3 linked regions of the Oryctolagus cuniculus genome follow. The main gene of each other region encodes a partner of the protein of the gene in region 2 in a complex. Links are inferred from orthologs where the notes say so. Each region holds a gene or a part of one and is shown on either strand. Other genes may lie near its edges.

What was found.
Region 1: the proteins of RANGAP1 (region 2) and XPO1 are in contact, whole or in part, in a cryo-EM structure (PDB 9B62), measured with the Homo sapiens proteins. The link is inferred for Oryctolagus cuniculus from reciprocal best matches to the Homo sapiens genes RANGAP1 and XPO1. Residues at the interface, in NP_001265580.1 of Homo sapiens: Ala2, Asp5, Ile6, Leu9, Ala10, Thr12, Leu13, Ala14, Thr16, Gln17, Val18, Ala19, Gln22, Leu23, Ser24, Phe25, Lys28, Glu44, Arg55, Ala561, Thr564, Lys565, Pro566, Ser568, Glu571, Ser572, Ser574, Phe575, Arg577, His578; in NP_003391.1 of Homo sapiens: Lys245, Ser248, Thr249, Tyr252, Lys253, Glu281, Gln282, Val284, Thr285, Leu289, Met292, Gln293, Gln296, Arg340, Asn342, Leu343, Lys514, Val518, Ile521, Lys522, Leu525, Glu529, Arg532, Lys534, Lys537, Ala538, Ala541, Met545, Phe554, His558.
Region 3: the proteins of RANGAP1 (region 2) and SENP2 are in contact, whole or in part, in a crystal structure (PDB 2IO3), measured with the Homo sapiens proteins. The link is inferred for Oryctolagus cuniculus from reciprocal best matches to the Homo sapiens genes RANGAP1 and SENP2. Residues at the interface, in NP_001265580.1 of Homo sapiens: Glu467, Asn508, Thr511, Thr514, Arg515, Val518, His519, Leu523, Lys524, Ser525, Glu526, Asp527, Val529; in NP_067640.2 of Homo sapiens: Tyr408, His409, Trp410, Val477, His478, Asp495, Met497, Gly498, Gln499, Lys500, Pro536, His537, Gln541, Gln542, Asn544, Gly545.

Annotation. Positions count from the first base shown.
Region 1 is NC_091433.1:141,247,732-141,253,714, reverse strand, and holds part of XPO1 (exportin-1), read right to left. Parts: intron 4,849-5,983; coding exon 4,720-4,848; intron 3,583-4,719; coding exon 3,424-3,582; intron 2,398-3,423; coding exon 2,200-2,397; intron 1,712-2,199; coding exon 1,573-1,711; intron 1,419-1,572; coding exon 1,237-1,418; intron 1,158-1,236; coding exon 1,001-1,157; intron 923-1,000; coding exon 759-922; intron 519-758; coding exon 384-518; intron 1-383. UniProt on the Homo sapiens protein: Mediates the nuclear export of cellular proteins (cargos) bearing a leucine-rich nuclear export signal (NES) and of RNAs.
Region 2 is NC_091442.1:117,316,492-117,322,474, reverse strand, and holds part of RANGAP1 (ran GTPase-activating protein 1), read left to right. Parts: intron 1-546; coding exon 547-739; intron 740-1,474; coding exon 1,475-1,594; intron 1,595-2,629; coding exon 2,630-2,732; intron 2,733-4,016; coding exon 4,017-4,105; intron 4,106-4,310; coding exon 4,311-4,432; intron 4,433-5,857; coding exon 5,858-5,927; coding exon of another isoform or gene 5,928-5,977; 3' UTR 5,978-5,983. UniProt on the Homo sapiens protein: GTPase activator for RAN. Converts cytoplasmic GTP-bound RAN to GDP-bound RAN, which is essential for RAN-mediated nuclear import and export. Mediates dissociation of cargo from nuclear export complexes containing XPO1, RAN and RANBP2 after nuclear export.
Region 3 is NC_091435.1:95,280,293-95,286,275, reverse strand, and holds part of SENP2 (sentrin-specific protease 2), read right to left. Parts: coding exon 5,861-5,983; intron 4,324-5,860; coding exon 4,120-4,323; intron 3,636-4,119; coding exon 3,556-3,635; intron 1-3,555. UniProt on the Homo sapiens protein: Protease that catalyzes two essential functions in the SUMO pathway.

The DNA.
Region 1 (5,983 bases), on a different chromosome or scaffold from region 2:
CATTAGGCACAGTGGTTAGATACTTGTTGCGTTATCTTTTATCGGAATAACTGGTTTGAGTCTTGCTCTTTCATTTCTGATCCAGCTTCCTCCCTAATGTGCACCCTAGGAGGCATCAAGATTATGGCTTAAGTGCTTGGGCACCCACCACCCGTATGCACAACTGAGATTGAGTGGCTGGCCTTGGGTGCTGGGGAGTAAACCAGCAGATGAAGATTTCTGACTGCCTGTCTCTCTCTCTGTCTGCCTTTCAGACAAAAGAAAACGGAAATATTAATTTTTTCAAAAATCACTTATGGATCAGGAATATGCATATATGGTATATATCAAAAGTACAAAAATCACATTTGCAAATTTCTTCTTCAATTCCAACTAAAACTTACTTTGGTTGCCTGCTGGATTATACTATCCCACACTTGATTGGGGAGCAGCATGTATTTTTCAATCAGATGTTCTTGGACTGTCTGGTCTGTTTGTGCACCAATCATGTAGCCCACAGCTTCATAAAATGTATGAACCTATTTTAAAAAGCAGACTTTGCTTACACTTATGCATTTTGGTAAAGAAAATCACACAACACACTCACTCTATATTACATAGGACAATAGTCTAGCAAACCAACTGTTAAGTTTCTGGCTTGCTATGAAAGGTCAACACAAAAACTTACAATTAATTTAACTGTAGGATTTTATTTCCATTAAATTCTTATTAATACAGGGATCACTTTCTAAAAATTACATGCTTAGCATTTTACATACCTGTTGAGGCTGAAGATCACAAATGATAGTGTTAATGTTGTTCAAAATTTCATCAATAAATGGCATTACTTCTCCAACCTGGACTTGAACAAAATGCCTGCGGCACTTCTGAGCTATTTTAATAAAAGTATCACAAGCCATGTCCTGGACTCCATCATGGGTCTCTAATAAAATAAAAACATTCATCTATTTTGCTCAATTAAAAAAAAATTAAAACATATTGAATTAAATGAATAATTTACCATGCATGAATTCAAACAGCTTGTTAACTACAGTCTTCAAAAATTTCCAGTGAGCTCTCAAAAATCTTGGATATTGACCTACTATGTACATGATATTTGATGCAATAATAGCTTTATTATCTTTCCCTCTTTTCTGTTCACATAATCCTAATAGATCCTGTAAAATAAGACAATTTTAAGTCATTTATCTTAACAAAGTATTTTATGGCTATAGTTCACATATATTCTTTGCTTACCTTTATAACAGTAACAAGAAATCGTTTTTCATCCTCTTCATGCATGGCTCCACTAATGGAGCCTATTGCCCAACACAATGTATTCAAATTTTTCCATGACCACTCTGTCCCATTCACTTGATTGTGAAGCTTTTCAGTCATTATTCTTTCTGTATCTACATAATCCAGATGAGTAAGATAAACTACAAAGAAAAATTTCAGATGTTTCAATTGCAAAACACAATGAGCCAGAAACTTTTATTAAAAAAAGTAAATTAATAAAAATGGCTACTTTAAAACATCAGTGTACCCCATTTTCTGAAAATTATTCCCATCTCAAAGTAGGTTTTAACTTACCTAATGTTTCTCTCATATTTTTATACAAATTTATGGAATCTGTATCCTTCATGAATTCTCTCACAACTTCTCCCTGATCATTTTCTACAACCAATACTTCCTCTGGTTTCGCCATACGACTAACCATCAATAAACGGACCTATCCAACAAGAAGACAATTAAGAAAATCTGTTAGCTATATGCTATTAGCCACAAATGTAGAAACTTAGGGGGAAAACTCAAGGCATGTACTTAAATTACCATGCCAAAAAAAAATTTCCAGAAAAGTTAAAAAGATATTTAATGCTATTACTTGATCACATAAAAAACGTGAACTATAAAGGCAAAAATTTAAATTTCATTGCAACAGTTTCCTGTGTCTCTTTTCCACATTCTCTATCAATGCAAAAGTGAAAGGCCAATGAACTTGCATGCCCAACAAATTCTCAAGTGATGTTGATGATGCAAGGACAGAAACTGCTTCTGAAAATCATGGCCAAATCAAATTCTTTCTGGTTCCAGCTTTCACAATTCCTGCAGAAGTTGTTGGATCCTTTTGGCAGCTTATTAATTTAGATAGATTAGCCAGATTAAAAGGATCTACATATAGCAATCAAAACCACAGTAAGCATCAGGAAGAATACATACCTTGGATAACACTGGCAGATAGAGCTGTCTCCTGGGGGGAACATCAAAATGTTGAGTTCCTGACAGCAATGGAGAGGCAGATGTAGAAAATGGGCTCTCTCTATAGAGTTCAGCTGCCAAGTGATTCCAGTATTCAAGACAAATCTTAAAGATTTCAGTTTCTTCAACTTCTGATACCAGCAACATATAATGAAGAGCCTGTAAGACCAAAAGTGTTAATTTGTATTTACTATCAAATCTCAAAATTACCTTCCACTTGCTACTTTAATTGGAAATTAATGTTTTATTTCATACATCTTTGATTTCATTACTTACTCAAATCTATGAACTCTGAAAACAAATGGTGCTTTTTCTGACATATGCCACCATACTTCCAACAACCTCCTAAAAAGTTGATCATTATGTATTATAATCAAATAGCTTAAAAACATTGTTTGTAAAAGTCCTTTGATGATAGCCAAAGTGCAGAAATAATCCAAATGTTTAAAGGTAAATTGATAAATAAGATGTTATGTTCATATAATAGAATATAATTGATAAGAATATAACAGAGGAATCTTTAAATACATCAAACTGACACAGAAACCATACACAAAAGTCACAGGCTGTATGATCTAAATTTAGATGAAAAAAGCAGAACAGCTAAGTCCACTGGCAGAAACCAACTAAATGGTTTATAGTGGTTGAGGAAAACTACAGAGATAATGATTAGTTTGAGGGGTACACAATCTCCTTCAGGGTTGATGAAAACTGTTTTGAAATAGATATTAATACTTATACAAAAAATGCTACTTGACTGCATACACCCAAATGGATAAACTTATGTGAATGCCTCAATTAATTATAAAATATTTTTGGACATTTAGCTTGTAAAGTTACATGTGTAATATTGTTTAGGAATTTATTTTTATGAGAAATTAGTAGACACAGCCTTATGCAGAAAATTAGAAACTCAGCTTATTGACTGTATTTGAAAACTGACAAAATATATTATTTGTGTGTGTATATGTATATATGCACACACACGAATATATACATATGTATATACGCATATATACACGCATATATACACACATACATAGATATACACATATATACATACATTCATACACACACACACACACACACACACACACACACACAGGGAAAGTAACAGGCATCATATTTTTGAGTTTTTTTAATACAGAAAAGCATTTCAGAACCCAAAGACTCCAAAAAGCCTACCTCCATGAGTGTTTCCCTGAGATTTAATCTTTTTTCTATAAGTTGACCGTGTTCCTTAAGAAAGGTGCAGAGAAACAAACTGAGGTTTTGAATAAAGTTCTGTTCGTCATCTTTTCCATTTGAATATGCTAGTCGAATATTGGTATTTAAAGGAAGCATCTGTAAATTAAAATAAATACTTAAAAATTAAAACAAAAATATTTTTGAAAAATTAAACACTATAATTTAAACCTGTAAGCCTACACAATACACATTTATTAATATTAAGCCATAAGAGGACTCCTCATTCTGTTATGCCTCCTTTTATTTCTCTGTGACCTAGGTTTTCGATTTTCTCCAAAAAGAAAGGTTACAGGGAAACTAGCTCTATTATAGTCTTTCAATTTTTCCATCAGACTTTTCCTTTCTCAGCGACAATGAAAACGTTTCCCAATATCTAGTCTGATCTCTGCAGCAAGATAAAGCTTGTAAATTCTGGAGAAAATACATTGTTGGGGCTGGCACTGTTGTGTAGTAGGTTAAGCTTCTGCACAGCATCCATATTGGTGCTGGTTCAAGACCCAACTGCTCCACTTCCAATCCAACTCCCTGCTAATGGTCTGGGAAAGCAGTGGAAGATGGTCCAAGTCCTTGGGCCCTTGCACCCACATGGGAGACCGCAAAAACGCTCATGACTCTTGGCTTCGGATCAGCTCAGCTATAGCTGTTGTGGCCATTTGGGGAGTGAACCAGCAGATGTAAGATTTCTCTCTCTATAACTCGGTTTCTCAAAGAAACAAATCTTAATTTTAAAAAATGTATTCTTTTGACACACCTAAAACCTTTACTTCAAGTAATTTTCAGTTCCCATTAAAAACTTCTGTTTTACTACTGATTTTATAGAAACACAATATTTCAGAGTTGGCGCCTTGGCCTGCAGCGCCGGCATCCCATATGGGTGCCAGCTCGAGACCTGGCTGCTCCATTTCCTATCTAGCTCTCTGCTATGGCCTGGGACTGCAGTAGAAGATGGCCCAAGTCCTTGGGACCTGCACCCGTGTGGGAGACCCAGAGGAAGCTCCTGGCTTTGGATCGGCACAGCTTCAGCCACTGCAACCAACTGGGGAGTGAACCATCAGATGGAAGACCTCTCTCTCTCTCTCTCGAACTCTTTCAAATAAATAAATCTTAAAAAAATAAAAACACAATATCTCAATACACTTGATGTGTAACACATGGAGGTAAAATATCTGAACTTGAATCCAACATTTTCTAAGGCACAAAAATGGTTCCATTTTCAAGATAGCAGACTATTACCTGTTTTAGCTGCATCATTGTCAGTGTAAATAGCGTTACAAATTGTTCCTCATATTGGCTTACACTCACACCAGCAATCTCGGTGAGGCACTTCAGAGAGACATTTCGAAACATTGGAACATTCAGGAACTATATTTTTAAAAAAGAGAAACATAAAATTAAATAGCTGAAGCACATGATGCTTAAGATAAACATTTTAAGGAAAGGAAAAGATTTAACAATCAGAAACAAGTTAGCAGTCAAATAGGTAAGTGAATGATATGCCTTATTTTAGAGATTATTTTAAGGAAATTCCATCATCTAAGGAATACTATGAATTTGGAGAAAATATATAAGTGGCAAAGCTATCAGTGGGTGGCAGTTTGGTAAGCATTAAAAGCCTTAGCCTATTACATTCTATTCATAAGACACCTATAAAGACTTAAATTGAACAATAACTATACCACTTACAGTAACATTTAATTAAATATATGTCCTAGAAATAGTTGCAGAATTGAAAACTTGAGACTTAATGGGATAGAAATAGACATATATGGGCCATGAGTATCTATTCAAGTCCTGCCTGCTCTGCTTCCAATCTAGCTGTTTATGCATTTGGCAAAACAGTACAAGACTAGTACGGAATATTGGGCTGCTGGCTTTGGCTTGAAACAGTCCCTGCAGTTAGGGCCATTTGGGGGATGAACCAATAGACAGAAGAGATATGTCTCTTTTTCTCTGTAACTCTGCCTATTTTTCAAGTAATAAATCTTTTAAAAAAGGACATGTCTATTGACCTGCTAATTCCATTTTAAACAAATTTACTGGAAGGAAATGCTTGATATGAGTATAAATATCCTATATACACAAGAATGTAGCTGAGAGTGAAGGGGTGACTGGTTAAGTGGCTGAACTGTTGGGATGCAAACATTCCTTTTTTTTTTTTTTAAAGAGTATCATGGTTTAGGTCCTGCCTCTTCCCAAGATTCCCCAGCTTCTGGGAAGTAGCAGGTAATGCTTCAAGTAAGTGGGATGCCTAAACTGAGGTCCAGTCTAGGCCCTTGAGGGCAATCTGAGAAATGACCCAACAGAAGGGAGCAGTTTGTCTCTTTCCCAGCCTCTCAAATAAATGAAAAACAGAAAAGGTGACTAAATATAATCAAGTCTGTCATTTAAATTAAATGAAATTATAGGATATAAGTGGCAGAATCACAGAATTTGACTCATTTCAATTACTAGCTATAATTATGGAAACATTCCTTTTGTGCACTGTCACCTCAGAAAC
Region 2 (5,983 bases):
TGCCTCCTGCTGCACTGCACTCGGTCTGTGCTGGCAGCCCCGCCTGCTGGTCTGCAGCTGCACCTCACTGATGCTCAGTCTTGAGTCCCCACTGCAGGCCTGTGCTGCTGCCAGGAACTGGGGACTCAGGGGCTGGACCTCAGGAGGATCCCGGTCTGGGGACAGTGGAACAGCCTTCCTCGGGGCAGGGACAGCTAGACCTTTGCCTCCCTGCACCAGGAGCTTCCTGTGGTCATGAGAAGAGGGTGGCACTGCCCTGGGCATCTCGGCCTGGACAGATCCCGCCACGCCCTGGGCCTCAGCTGTCTCCCTGGGACACTGTGGGCTTCTTTGGGACAGGGACAAGATCTGATTCACCCGTGACTGCAGAAGCTGCTGCACGCTCATCCTTTGTCTTGAAGAATGAGTGACGTGCTCTCTGGTGAGCCCTGGGCCAGCCCCAGGAGCAGGCACCCTCCCCAGACTCCCTGCTGTCTGACTGGAGCCTTGTGGTCAGTGAGGGTCACTGGGTAGGGAGAACCTGCTTTAGCCAACTCCTGTCTGCAGTGATGACGAGGGTGACGATGACGAAGACGAGGAAGAGGAGGAAGGGGAAGAAGAAGATGAGGAGGAAGAGGAAGAAGAGGAGGAGGAAGATGAGGAGGAGGAGGAAGAGGAGGAAGAAGAGTCTCAGCAGCAGCGAGGTCAGGGGGAAGAGTCGACCACACCCTCCAGGAAGATTCTGGACCCTAACAGTGGGGTACGTTCCTTGTCTTCTGCCAGAATCAGAGCCCTGGGCCCCCTGAGCACGCAGTCCTGTAGCGTCTTCCCGAGGGTGGGCCATGGACCTGCTTCAGCACAGCCGCTGCTCCTGGCTGAGACAGAAGGAACAGCTGTGATCCTAGTAACGTGTTTGCTTGCCCGATGCACTTTCACTCACTTAGGTGTGGTAACGTAGGACTGCAAGGCGTGCCTGATGTCCCTCGCCTGGCCCTGGTGGTTTCAGGGTGGCCTTGCCCCAGTCCATCTGTTTGTGTTCCCTTGTAGATTCCCACATAAAGCTTCTGGAGAACTCTGGGTAGGACTGGGACCCCGCCCAGCTGGATTGGGGTCCTCCCTGGTGTCTGGGTGCAGTGGAATGGCAAGGCACGGCTCGGCCCGTGTGTTTCTCCACACCTCTAGCGTTGCTAGCAGTGCTGACCCAGCTAGACTGGTCCCTGGGGGGTCTACCTCAGGTCTCACATGCCTCTCTCTTGAGTCCTTCCCCAGGTGTTGCGTGTCTTAGCATGGACTCACTCTGCCATACCAGGCTTCTGGAATCCTGGGCAGGTGGCTTCCCACACCCCGTATCAGGAACCTACTGGGACCAGCCTCTGTGGGGGCTGCACCCTTTGGGAAACTGCAGCTGAGTGGGAAGAATTGTGGGTGTAGGAGCAGGTACAACCTGGAGTCAGGTTCAGAATCCAACAGAACCACCCACGGCCCCGTCTCTCAGGAACCGGCCCCTGTGCTGTCCTCCCCGCCGCCTGCAGACGTCTCCACCTTCCTGGCCTTCCCCTCTCCTGAGAAGCTGCTGCGCCTGGGACCCAAGAGTTCCATGCTGATAGCCCAACAGGTAATAACAGCACTGTGACCCCAGACTTAACCTGTGCCAGGCTGCTGGAGGGGCCTGACCCCCGAGTCACACAGACACATGTAGCAGCGTGTGCAGTAGATCTGTCCACCACCGGTGCAGGCAGGCGCCTGTGCCTGCTGGGAACTGCTCAGCTGCAGGAAGAGCCACCTGCCGTGGCCAGTGCGGCCTGGAGCGAGGGCCTTTCCCACTCCCGCTCCTGCATGCCTGTGCCTCAGCGTCTCTGTGTTTGGGCCCAGGTGCTTCTAGAACAACCCTCTGGCCAGGGCCTCTTTGGAGGTCACAGCCTTCTGCAGGGAGGCCGCCCAGCTGCAGCCTTGCTGGTTGGTTCATTCGCTCATCCCAAGTTGATTCTGCAGCACTGTTTTCTGGTGGGCTCTGTATTTGGTCATGGTTTTATTTAGTCCTCTTGCAACTTGAAATGTGGTCCGTTACACTCCTTTTATAGATGAAAAAATGGAGGCTCAGGGAGCCCACGTGTGGGGTTGGCTTGACATTTTCAGTGATTTCCTTTTGAATGTTTTGTCTGTATACTTTTTTGCAACATGATAAATATGAGATTATATAATGGAAACCTTTCTGTATCCTACACTTTGACTTAGCCCTGTTCATGGTTTTCCTGGTTATGAAACTTTGCGTACGCTTGGTTCAGATGAGCAGGCCAGTGTCTCTGGACATTTGTATCTTGCCACTTTCCTCTCTTGTTAGTGGAGTTGAGGGACACATCCTTGTGTGAATATTGTCCATATTCTGCGTTATTTCTTCAGTTTGGATTACAAGAAAGAAACCAGAGGACCCCAGGGATGACAGTTTTCAGGGCTTATCCACTCTATATGTGCTGTGGGCCAGGCTCTAGGTAGGCTCCACGGGACAGCCTGGGGTGAGGACAGGTGAGGGCCCTGTCCTTGCCCTCTAGCGGTCACAGGTGCCAAGGCCTCTCATAAGCCCCAGAACAGGCAGATCATTGTGCCCGGCCCTGGGACTCGGGCCCCTGACCGTCCTCTCTGGTGTCCTCAGACTGATACATCTGACCCGGAGAAAGTGGCTGCTGCCTTCCTGAAGGTGTCGTCTGTGTTTAAGGATGAAGCTGCGGTGAGGACGGCAGTGCAGGACGCAGTAGGTAACGTGGGCGCCGAGGGGCTCTGCTCCAGCGCTGGTGCGGCATGCGCTCCCAGCCACTCTGGCCTGGCCTGTCAGGTCTTGCCATGGCCTGCTGTGGGGCGGGCTGGGTGCTCTCCTGGTTTTTGAAGCTCTGTTGGGCAAACTAGGTCTTTCCTAAAGCCAGACAGCTGTAGAAAACTCACAAGTGATGTCCAGTGCAGGTGCCCAGTGTGGAGGGCCAGAGTCGGGTCCACAAGGACCCATTCAGGAGGTGGGTGATGCAAGCTGAGCCTTGGTCCCCACCTTGGGCCTGTGTGTATGTGAGCCCCTCTGCGGGAGGGTCCTCACTTTCCTTTCCCAGGTCCCCTCCCTCCCTTCCTCCCTCCCTCCCTCCCTTCCTCCCTCCCTTCCTTTTCTTAACTTATGCTCATTTACTTAAAAGACAAGGAGAGACAGTGTGATCTGAACATCCACTAGGTCACCCTCCAAACACCTGCAACAGCTGGGGCTGGACCGTGCCAAAGCCCAGAACCTGGAATTTACTGGAGGCCTCCCACAGGGATGGCAGGGCCACCATCTGCTGCCTCCCAGGGTGCACATTAGCAGAAAGCTGGAGTTGGGGTAGAGTGGGCTCAGACCCAAGCACTGGTACGGGTGTGGGCATCTTGTTAAGCCTCACGCCGTGTTCACCCTTCCCCAAGTCATTCTTGAGTGCACTCTGGTAAGCCCTGTGACCACGTTTGCTTCCAGAGCCTGTCACCTTCCTCCTTGGTGCTGTTTGAGCCAGTGTGGACCAGATTTCAGTAGGCAGGAAGGGGTTGGGGGGTCCTGTGGTGAGGACACAGCTTATGCAGGAGGAGAGGAGGGATAGGAAGTGCTGGGGCTTCCCCAGAGTCAGCTGTGGGCATAGAGGCCAAGGCCAGCTGGGAGCGTGCAGGTCTCCCTGAGAATTAATGGGAGAACAAGAGGCTCGAGTTCTGTTTCTCAGAGCGGCCTGGCACACTCCCTGCAGGTCCCCCCAACCTGGCTACACCTCCTCCAGTGGTGGGGTGTCCACATATGGGAACCAGCTGTGTGAGGTGGGCACAGTGGCTTCGTCTCCATGCCATTTTACATGTTAGGCCAGGAGGGGAGGGGCCAAGGTATCTAGCCAAGCTTCTCATTGTGCCAAGTGCCTCCCCAGTCTGGTGCCTGTCCCTGTCATTCCTCGCCATGTTCACCTCTCGATGGGACAGGGAGGCAGGGCCGGGCCTTGGGACACCCTTGGGCCTGTGCCCAGCCCTCTGCTGCTTCTGCCCCACAGACGCCCTTATGAAGAAGGCCCTCAGCTGCTCGTCCTTCAACCCCAATGCCTTCCTCACCAGGCTGCTCATCCACATGGGCCTGCTGAAGGTGAGGTCAGAGGAGCGGCGGGTGCAGGGGCGGCTGCCCAGGTCACCACCCCAAGGCTTCCTGCGGCTCCAGTCCTGTCCCCAAGCAGCCTGGGCTCTGTGACGGGCTCTCTGTGGGGCCTCAGTGAGCCACTGTCTGGGTGGTGGAGCCCAGGGCCCTCCAGATGACTTCTAGCTCACCTCCCTTCTGCTGTGTCCTCTTGCAGAGTGAAGACAAGATCAAGGCCATTGCCAACCTGTACGGCCCCCTTATGGCACTGAACCACATGGTGCAGCAGGACTATTTCCCCAAGGCTCTCGCACCCCTGCTGCTGGCATTCATGACCAAGTGAGTGTGGCTTTGTCGCATTTATCCACACTGGCCTTCCACTTGCCTGGCCTGGTGAGGAGTCCCAGCCCAGCCAGCCTGCTGCGCCACGTGGGCACCTGGAGGCCCTTGCCCCTCCTGGGCCCTCTCCCAGCATTGCCATAGTTAAGAAATTTGCCTGCATCACACACCAGCAAGGGACCAGGCTGGTGTCTTACCCAAGTCTGCTCATGGATCCCATACTTATCGGGGTCCCTGTGGTCAGTTCTGTCGGTTCCCACAGTTGCATCATTCTAAGGGCCCTGGTCATCCTGGGCTTCCCTTGTGGACACACCTTGCTGTGGGAGCTGCCTGGTCCCCAGAGACTTAAACCTTGGCTAGGCCCTGGAGCACTGGTCACAGTCGGGTAATAAAGCATTAGGACCACCAGGCAGGGGTGCCCTCTCTGAGGCCTCGGGCCTCAGCCTCCCCACTGGATCAACCAGAGAGCTCTGTGCAGCCACACTTCTGTGAGGCCCAGCGCCTTTGGGGATGTGGGCGTGAGAGGAGCAGGAAGATCCCTGCCCTGAGGGGCGTGTAGCCCCGTAGGTGAGGCCCAGCACTCGGGGCTGCATCAGGACACGTGCAGCCTGCGGGACCGTGTTGCGGGGAGGCCATGTGGTAGGCGTGCGAGGACTGGCACCGACTCCCTTGCCGCAGGCCTGGTCGCCTCAGCGTCTGGCAGTTCATCTGCTACTGCAGGCATCCACCCACCTGCCACAAAGACTGCCCAGGCTGCAGGCGGCCTGGCTTTGTGGAGAGATCTGACTGCCTGCTCCTCTGCTGGAGTCCGCAGCACGATGGGTCTCGGCCCCTCCTGCCCCCAGCATGGCACACTCCCCCTGGCAGGAGCTCCAGGTGGGTGGGGTGGGTGAGACCCGCCCTCCCTCCCACTGCCAAGCTTGTGCCTGTGTCTCCTTCCCCACCCCATCTGAGCTGCCCCTCTGTACCCATCCCGGCTGGATGCCCTGATGGCCCTCTCTGCTCTCAGCCACGTGTTCTGGGGTCCCAAACCTGCCTGTGTGTGCGCTGCGGGTCAGAGGGCCATTGGTGCTGGTCCTGGGCCCCACACGCTTGTCCATCCCTAGGAGTCCTCCTGTTTCTTCGCTGAAATGACGCCAACGATGCTGCTGGTAACAACAGTGCTTGGCCTCTGGCCTGTGCCTGCTGGTGCAGTGCAGGTTGGCGTTCTGGCCGGTGGGCTATGTGACCTTGGCCGCACTGACGTCCTCTGATCCTTTTGCATAGCCCACCCCTGTGCAGAAGGCAGGGGGCTGAGAGCCTCCCTTGCAGAGTCGTTGTGAGAATTAGGAAAAACGGAGTCTGGCACAATAGTGGCCACAGCTGTTGGGAAATAAGCCTGAGCTCCCAGTGCCCACCCCACGCGCTGGCCCCTCTCTCCCACAGGCCCAACGGCGCCCTGGAATCCTGCTCCTTTGCCCGCCACAGTCTGCTGCAGACGCTGCACAAGGTCTAGACTCAGAGCAGCCTCTCGGATCCTCGCCTGGACCCGTGACTGGGGACTGAGATGAA
Region 3 (5,983 bases), on a different chromosome or scaffold from region 2:
GGAAGACCTTTCTCTCTGTCTCTCTCACTGCCCACTCTGCCTGTCAAAAAATAAAAATTAAAAATAAATAAAAGATGTATTAAAATTTATGTATTTGAGAGGTAGAGTTACAGATACTGAGAGGGAGAGATATAATATGGCCACAACGGCTGGAGCTGGGGCTGATCTGAAGCTAGGAGCCAGAAGCTTTTCTAGGTCTCCCATATGGGTGCAGGGGCCATCTTTTTTTTTTTTTTTTTTTTTTTTTGACAGGCAGAGTGGGTAGTTGGTTTTTTGCCGTTGGTTCACCCTCCAATGGCCGCCAAGGCTGGCGCGCTGCAGCTGGCACACCACGCTGATCTGAAGGCAGGAGCCAGGTGCTTATCCTGGTCTCCCATGGGGTACAGGGCCCAAGCACTTGGGCCATCCTCCACTGCATTCCAGGGCCACAGCAGAGAGTTGGCCTGGAAGAGGGGCAACCAGGACAGAATCCGGTGCCCCGACTGCCGGCGCTGCTAGGTGGAGGATTAGCCTAGTGAGCCGCGGCGCTGGCCAGGGGCCATCTTCTACTGCTTTCTCAGGCCACCGCAGAGAGCTGAATCAGAAGAGGAGCAGTCAGGACTAGAACCAGCACCCATGGGATACCAGCACCACAGCACTACCAGCACCAGCCCCACCCCAATTTCTTGCAACAATCAGGCAGAAGCCAGGAATCAGCAACTCCATCTGAGTCTCTCATGAAGGCAGAAGGAACCCAAGTTGTTACACCATCATCCACTGCTTCCCAGATGGATTACCAGGAAGCTGGATCAGAAACACAGAGAGTAGCTGGGACTCAAACCAGGCACTCTGATATAGGATGGAGGTATCCCTAAGTGGTGGATTACTCTGCTGCACTAAAATACCCACCACTGTAGCAGAATTTTATATTCTTAGAAGACATACTTAACTACTGAAAGTGATTAATTTTACAGTTTTCCTGCTAAGCTGCAAAATAAGTTAAACTGGTATTAGACCAACCAGGTCCTATACTCTCAAATAAGGTAACATTGCTCCCAAGGGAGTGAAAACTGGTACTTAGCGGTAATAATCTTTAGATATTTCGATGGTTTGTAGCCCTCTAAAGCTCAACCAATTATGACTTATTGCTTAGTATTATTGTCTCTCGTTATGGAGAAATTAAATTACAAAAGTCTCAGGGGGAAGGGGACAATAAAAAAAAAGCAGAGAAAACTGGACTAGGAGCATAGTAAACCTTAGATACATGGGAACTGAACCTTCCAAAAGAAAGGTAGGCAAGCAGGGAGGGAATATGAATGTAACAGAAGTATGTATTGTTATAAGCACCACCCAATACTCTTGTGTGTGATTCCAGTAAGAAATTTCTATGCATGTGGTAATATAAATGTATGTATGCGCATACAGGTATGTATATGTGTACATTTTATAAACATCTTACACAGAAAATACCAGAAAGATCAAATAATTTGGTGTATCATAACCAGTTTCTAATTGCTGGATCAGAAGTGGAACAGCCAGGACTCAATCTGGTGTCCACATGGAATGCCAGCATACAGGCAGCAGCTTAATTTGCTGTGCCACAGTGCTGACCCCATGAAGTATTTATTTATTTCTGGAATGTTCCTTTTGATATTTTTGGACTGTGGGTAACTGAAACTACAACTACTGTAGTAATTGCTAGAAACCAGCCTCAGTTTGTTTGTTTGTTTATCAAGATAGATAAAAATAAAAAGGGTCTTTTATGTTAAAACATTAAAAATTTTTGAATTTTTAGTAATCATATCTTCTTTCACAAGATTAACTTAACAAATTCATTTATCCTCAGAAAAGTTAAAAGCAGAAAACTGCAGTTGCTTCCAGAAAGTAAAAGAGATTCAAAATGGATTCATCTTACTGACAGCATTCTCACTATGAAGCTCATGTTACTGGGCTGGCACTGTGGAGCAGTGGGTTAACGTCCTGGCCTGAGGTGCCGGCATCCCATATGGGCACCTGTTCTAGTCCCAGCTGCTCCTCTTCCAATCCAGCTCTCGCTATGGCCTAGGATAGCAGCAGAAGACGGCCCAAGTTCTTGGGCCCCTCCACCCACGGTGAGAGACCTGGAGGAGGCTCCTGGCTCCTGGCTTAAGATCACCGCCATTCCAGCCGTTGCACCTATCTGGGGAGTGAACCAGCAGATGGAAGACCTCTCTATCTGTCTCTACCTCTCTCTTTAACTCTTTCAAATAAATAAAATAAATCTTTAAAAAAAATTCACATTACCACTTAAAAGAAATAAGAGGCTAGACTTTAAAGGCTGGTTTCTAGCAATTACTACAGTATTTGTAGTTTCAGTTACCCACAGTCCAAAAATATAAAGGGAAATTCCAGAAATAAATAAGTAATTCATGGGGCCAGCACTTGGCACAGCAAGTTAAGCTGTAGTCTGTATGCTGGCATCCCATATGGATACCAGCTGGAGTCCTGGTTACTCCACTTCTGATCCAGCTCCCTGCTAATTAGCAAGGGAAAGCAGGAAAAAATGGTCCAAGTAATTGGGCCCCTGCCACCCATATGAGAGACTGGGATGAAACTCCTCTGGCTCCTGGCTTCAGCATGGCCAACCTCCAGCCATCATAGCCATTTGGAAAGTAAAAATGGAAGAGATCTTCCCCTCCACACAACTTTAACTCTTACAAATAATTAAATAAACCTTATAAAAATAATACATGCTTCATAACATCTAAACTGCACATTGTTCTGTGTAACATGATGAAATCTCACACTGTCCACTTGGTCTGGCCTGGGACATAAATCAACCCTTTGTCCTTGCTTATCCATGCTGTATATACCACCCGCCCAGTCACTGAGTAGCCATCTTTGTTATCAAATCAACTGTCATGCTTTCATATTGTGTTCAAATTAATCTAATTTTACCTAAATGGCCCCAAAGCACAAAAGTAGTGATGCAAATGAGACAAGGAAAGACAGGTTAACTTGGGCACCATACAGCATCACTGCAGGGCAAGAGGGAAAACAGATATGTTTGGGAACAGTCTGTGGTTTCAGCTACCCACTAGCGATCTTGGAACTCATCCCCAGAAGTAAGGGGATGACTATTAACTTAAAAGTTTCCCCTGTATTCCATGAGATGAAGCCAACTCTCATGAAAGCACAAAGACATGGAGTAGGCTCCAAAATTTAGAGGACTAATACTCCCTATAACAGTTCTTTAGGACATTCAGAATAATGTAACAAATCCAAAGAGATCTCATTCAAATCACAGGATAAGGATTCGAACAAGGTATAGTTTACATAATAACACATGACAAACTTGTTTTCAATTGAATATGCTACCAAGTAAGATGTTCTCAAAGATCAGATATCATATTTAAACCAAAAAAGATGGATTCAATTAAGTTCTGACCTAACAGATAGAGAATCTTAACTGTACATTAAGACTACCATCCAGAGCTTCCTAGGATTAAACAGAAAAACAATGGTGATTGTTAAACACCATTAAACCCTAACAAGGGTTTAATGAGACAGTAGTGAAGTTTTTCAATCTTTACTTACAGAAGAATCTCACAGATCCTGTGGCCCTTTTGCCCCATAGAATCCAGATATTTAAGACACTTTTTTCTTAGGTCCATCACCTATAATGGAAAATTGCATTATCCAAAAACATCTTATATATAGCAGAAGAACTTTATTTCCAAAATTAAAACCATCTTTGAAAAAATCAAACATGAATGAATTTCTAGGACATATTCTTTAATTTAAAAAAAGTTACAAAACATTGTAAGTTAACATATATATATTTCTATTCCTAGAGAAAGGGCTAGAAACTAATTCACCAAAGTATCAGTGGCCCTCTCAATGATGAATTTTGTTTGTTCTCTTCTTTATACTTTCATTCTTTTATAATAAATCTGTTTAACATCTTATAAACAAAACTGAATGAAAGCTCCAGGTATAGGGACTGTGTCTCCTAGCTTTCCAAGCTGTTCAGAAGGTACTCTACGCAGCATGCCTTTAACATATCCTTACTGGTCTTATCACTGGACAGAAAAGAGTAGCCTTAATTATTTAAGAAAACAGTCTGTATCCAAACCCCAACAACTAATCCTCTCAACTTACCACCAGGCTCCAGTGTACCTTTCGATGAATAGGCACCAGAATAAGTTCCTGTTCAAAGAGATTTACCCCTTTGGTCCATCTTTTCACTGCTTGGTAACCCCCAGACTTTAATTTAGGATAGAAGAAAGTACTGAATGCATGAAGTACTGGATAGCCTTGCTTTTTATTTCTTTCAACCAGAAGATTCATATAAAAATTAATGACCTGTAAAATAGCAAGAGAGTCTAAGTTGGAATATGGGCAGCATATTACTGAAAACTAAATTTCTACCCAAGTAAGGATGAATTACAAAGTGCGAAGTTAATATATGGAGAAGGGAAGGTATGAGAGAAGGGGATGAAAGGAATGAAAGCACTGTCTCTGCAGAAGATTAAAAAAAAAATTGGGAGACAGGAGAGATTAAGGATGCATAAAAGTGTTCTTTTGAGGCATGAGTAGCAAAGACAAACAAGAGAAAGAACTGTGGAATAATGAAAAACTACCTGCAGCTGTATCACACAAGAAAATAGAAATACTAATGGAAACAAATCTTACTAAATTATACTTTGATTTTAAAACATTAAAATACATTAAACATACTTATTATACATTAATATTTTACTTAATTTTTAGCAGCACTTTTGAACAATAATTCACTTTTCCTGTATTTTCTATAATAAACACATTACACATAAAATGTGAAACAAAACATGCTAATTTTAAAAGTGCATTATTTTGGGAGACTCAGAGGAAGCTCTTGCTCCTAGCTTCGGATCAGCCCAGCTTCAATCATTGTGGCCATTTGGGGAGTAAACAAGCAGATGGAAGATCTCATTCTCTGACTTCCTCCTTCCTCCATAACTCTGTGTTTCAAATAAATAAGTAAGTCTTTAAAAATACATGTGATAAGTTAACTAGTTATGGGGGAATAGGATAAGGGGAAGGAAGGCAAAGGGAGAAAATGCAGGGACTGAGCAGGTGGGGAAAGAACCAATGGAAAGAAGTGGTAAGAGCTAACTTTTGCTAAATATGCAAGGACACAACAGGCAAATTTTGCAGCTCTCACTTGTGCTTTGAATATATGTGCCCCTCTATACCCATATAGGGCATATATAATTTCCAATTGATTAAGTCACAAGTGCTCTACCCTCATGAACGTGATTTGGGCTCTTACAAAGGAAGTTGAGGGGAAGTGTCCCAGCTCCTTTTGCGCTTCTGCCACATGATGACTCAGTGCCTTTCCTGCTGGCTTAGAAGCAGGGACTGGGCCTTCACTGCACACTGAATCTGCTAGCACTTTGACCCTGGACTATCCTGCCTCCAGAACCAGAAGCAGCAAACCTCTATTGTTTATAAGTTACCTCGGCTATAATTTTTTTATAGCAGCAGGAATGGATCAAGATATAACTCAAATTAAATAAAAAGACATACACTCATATATAGCAATCAATACATCCCTTTAATACTGAAAAAATAAGAGTTCCCATAAGAGTTCATCTAGGGCTCATCTTATGGCGCCTAGGGCTTATGAAAATGTTGATTAGTAACTGAAGTTGTGGATGTAACTAAGCACAGATGTAGAAGAGGGAAATCTGTACAAACAATCAGAAGGAAACATCTTTTTAAGGTTTAGGATTTGTTTTAAATAAAACTAAAAGTTGCATTAGCAGCTTATTATAATTGGATAGGAAACACTTTGGTCAGGGTAGTACATGGTTAAATATAACTAGACAGTAAAAGGGGGGAGAAAAAGACAATTTACTTCATCGTTCAGCCAGTGATAGTTCCTTAAGGTCTGGATATCGCCTCGAGTAATTCGCAATTTGAAAGCACTACTTAGGATCTCATCCTGTGGACCATGGCCTAGAGCATTACTGATTTCCTT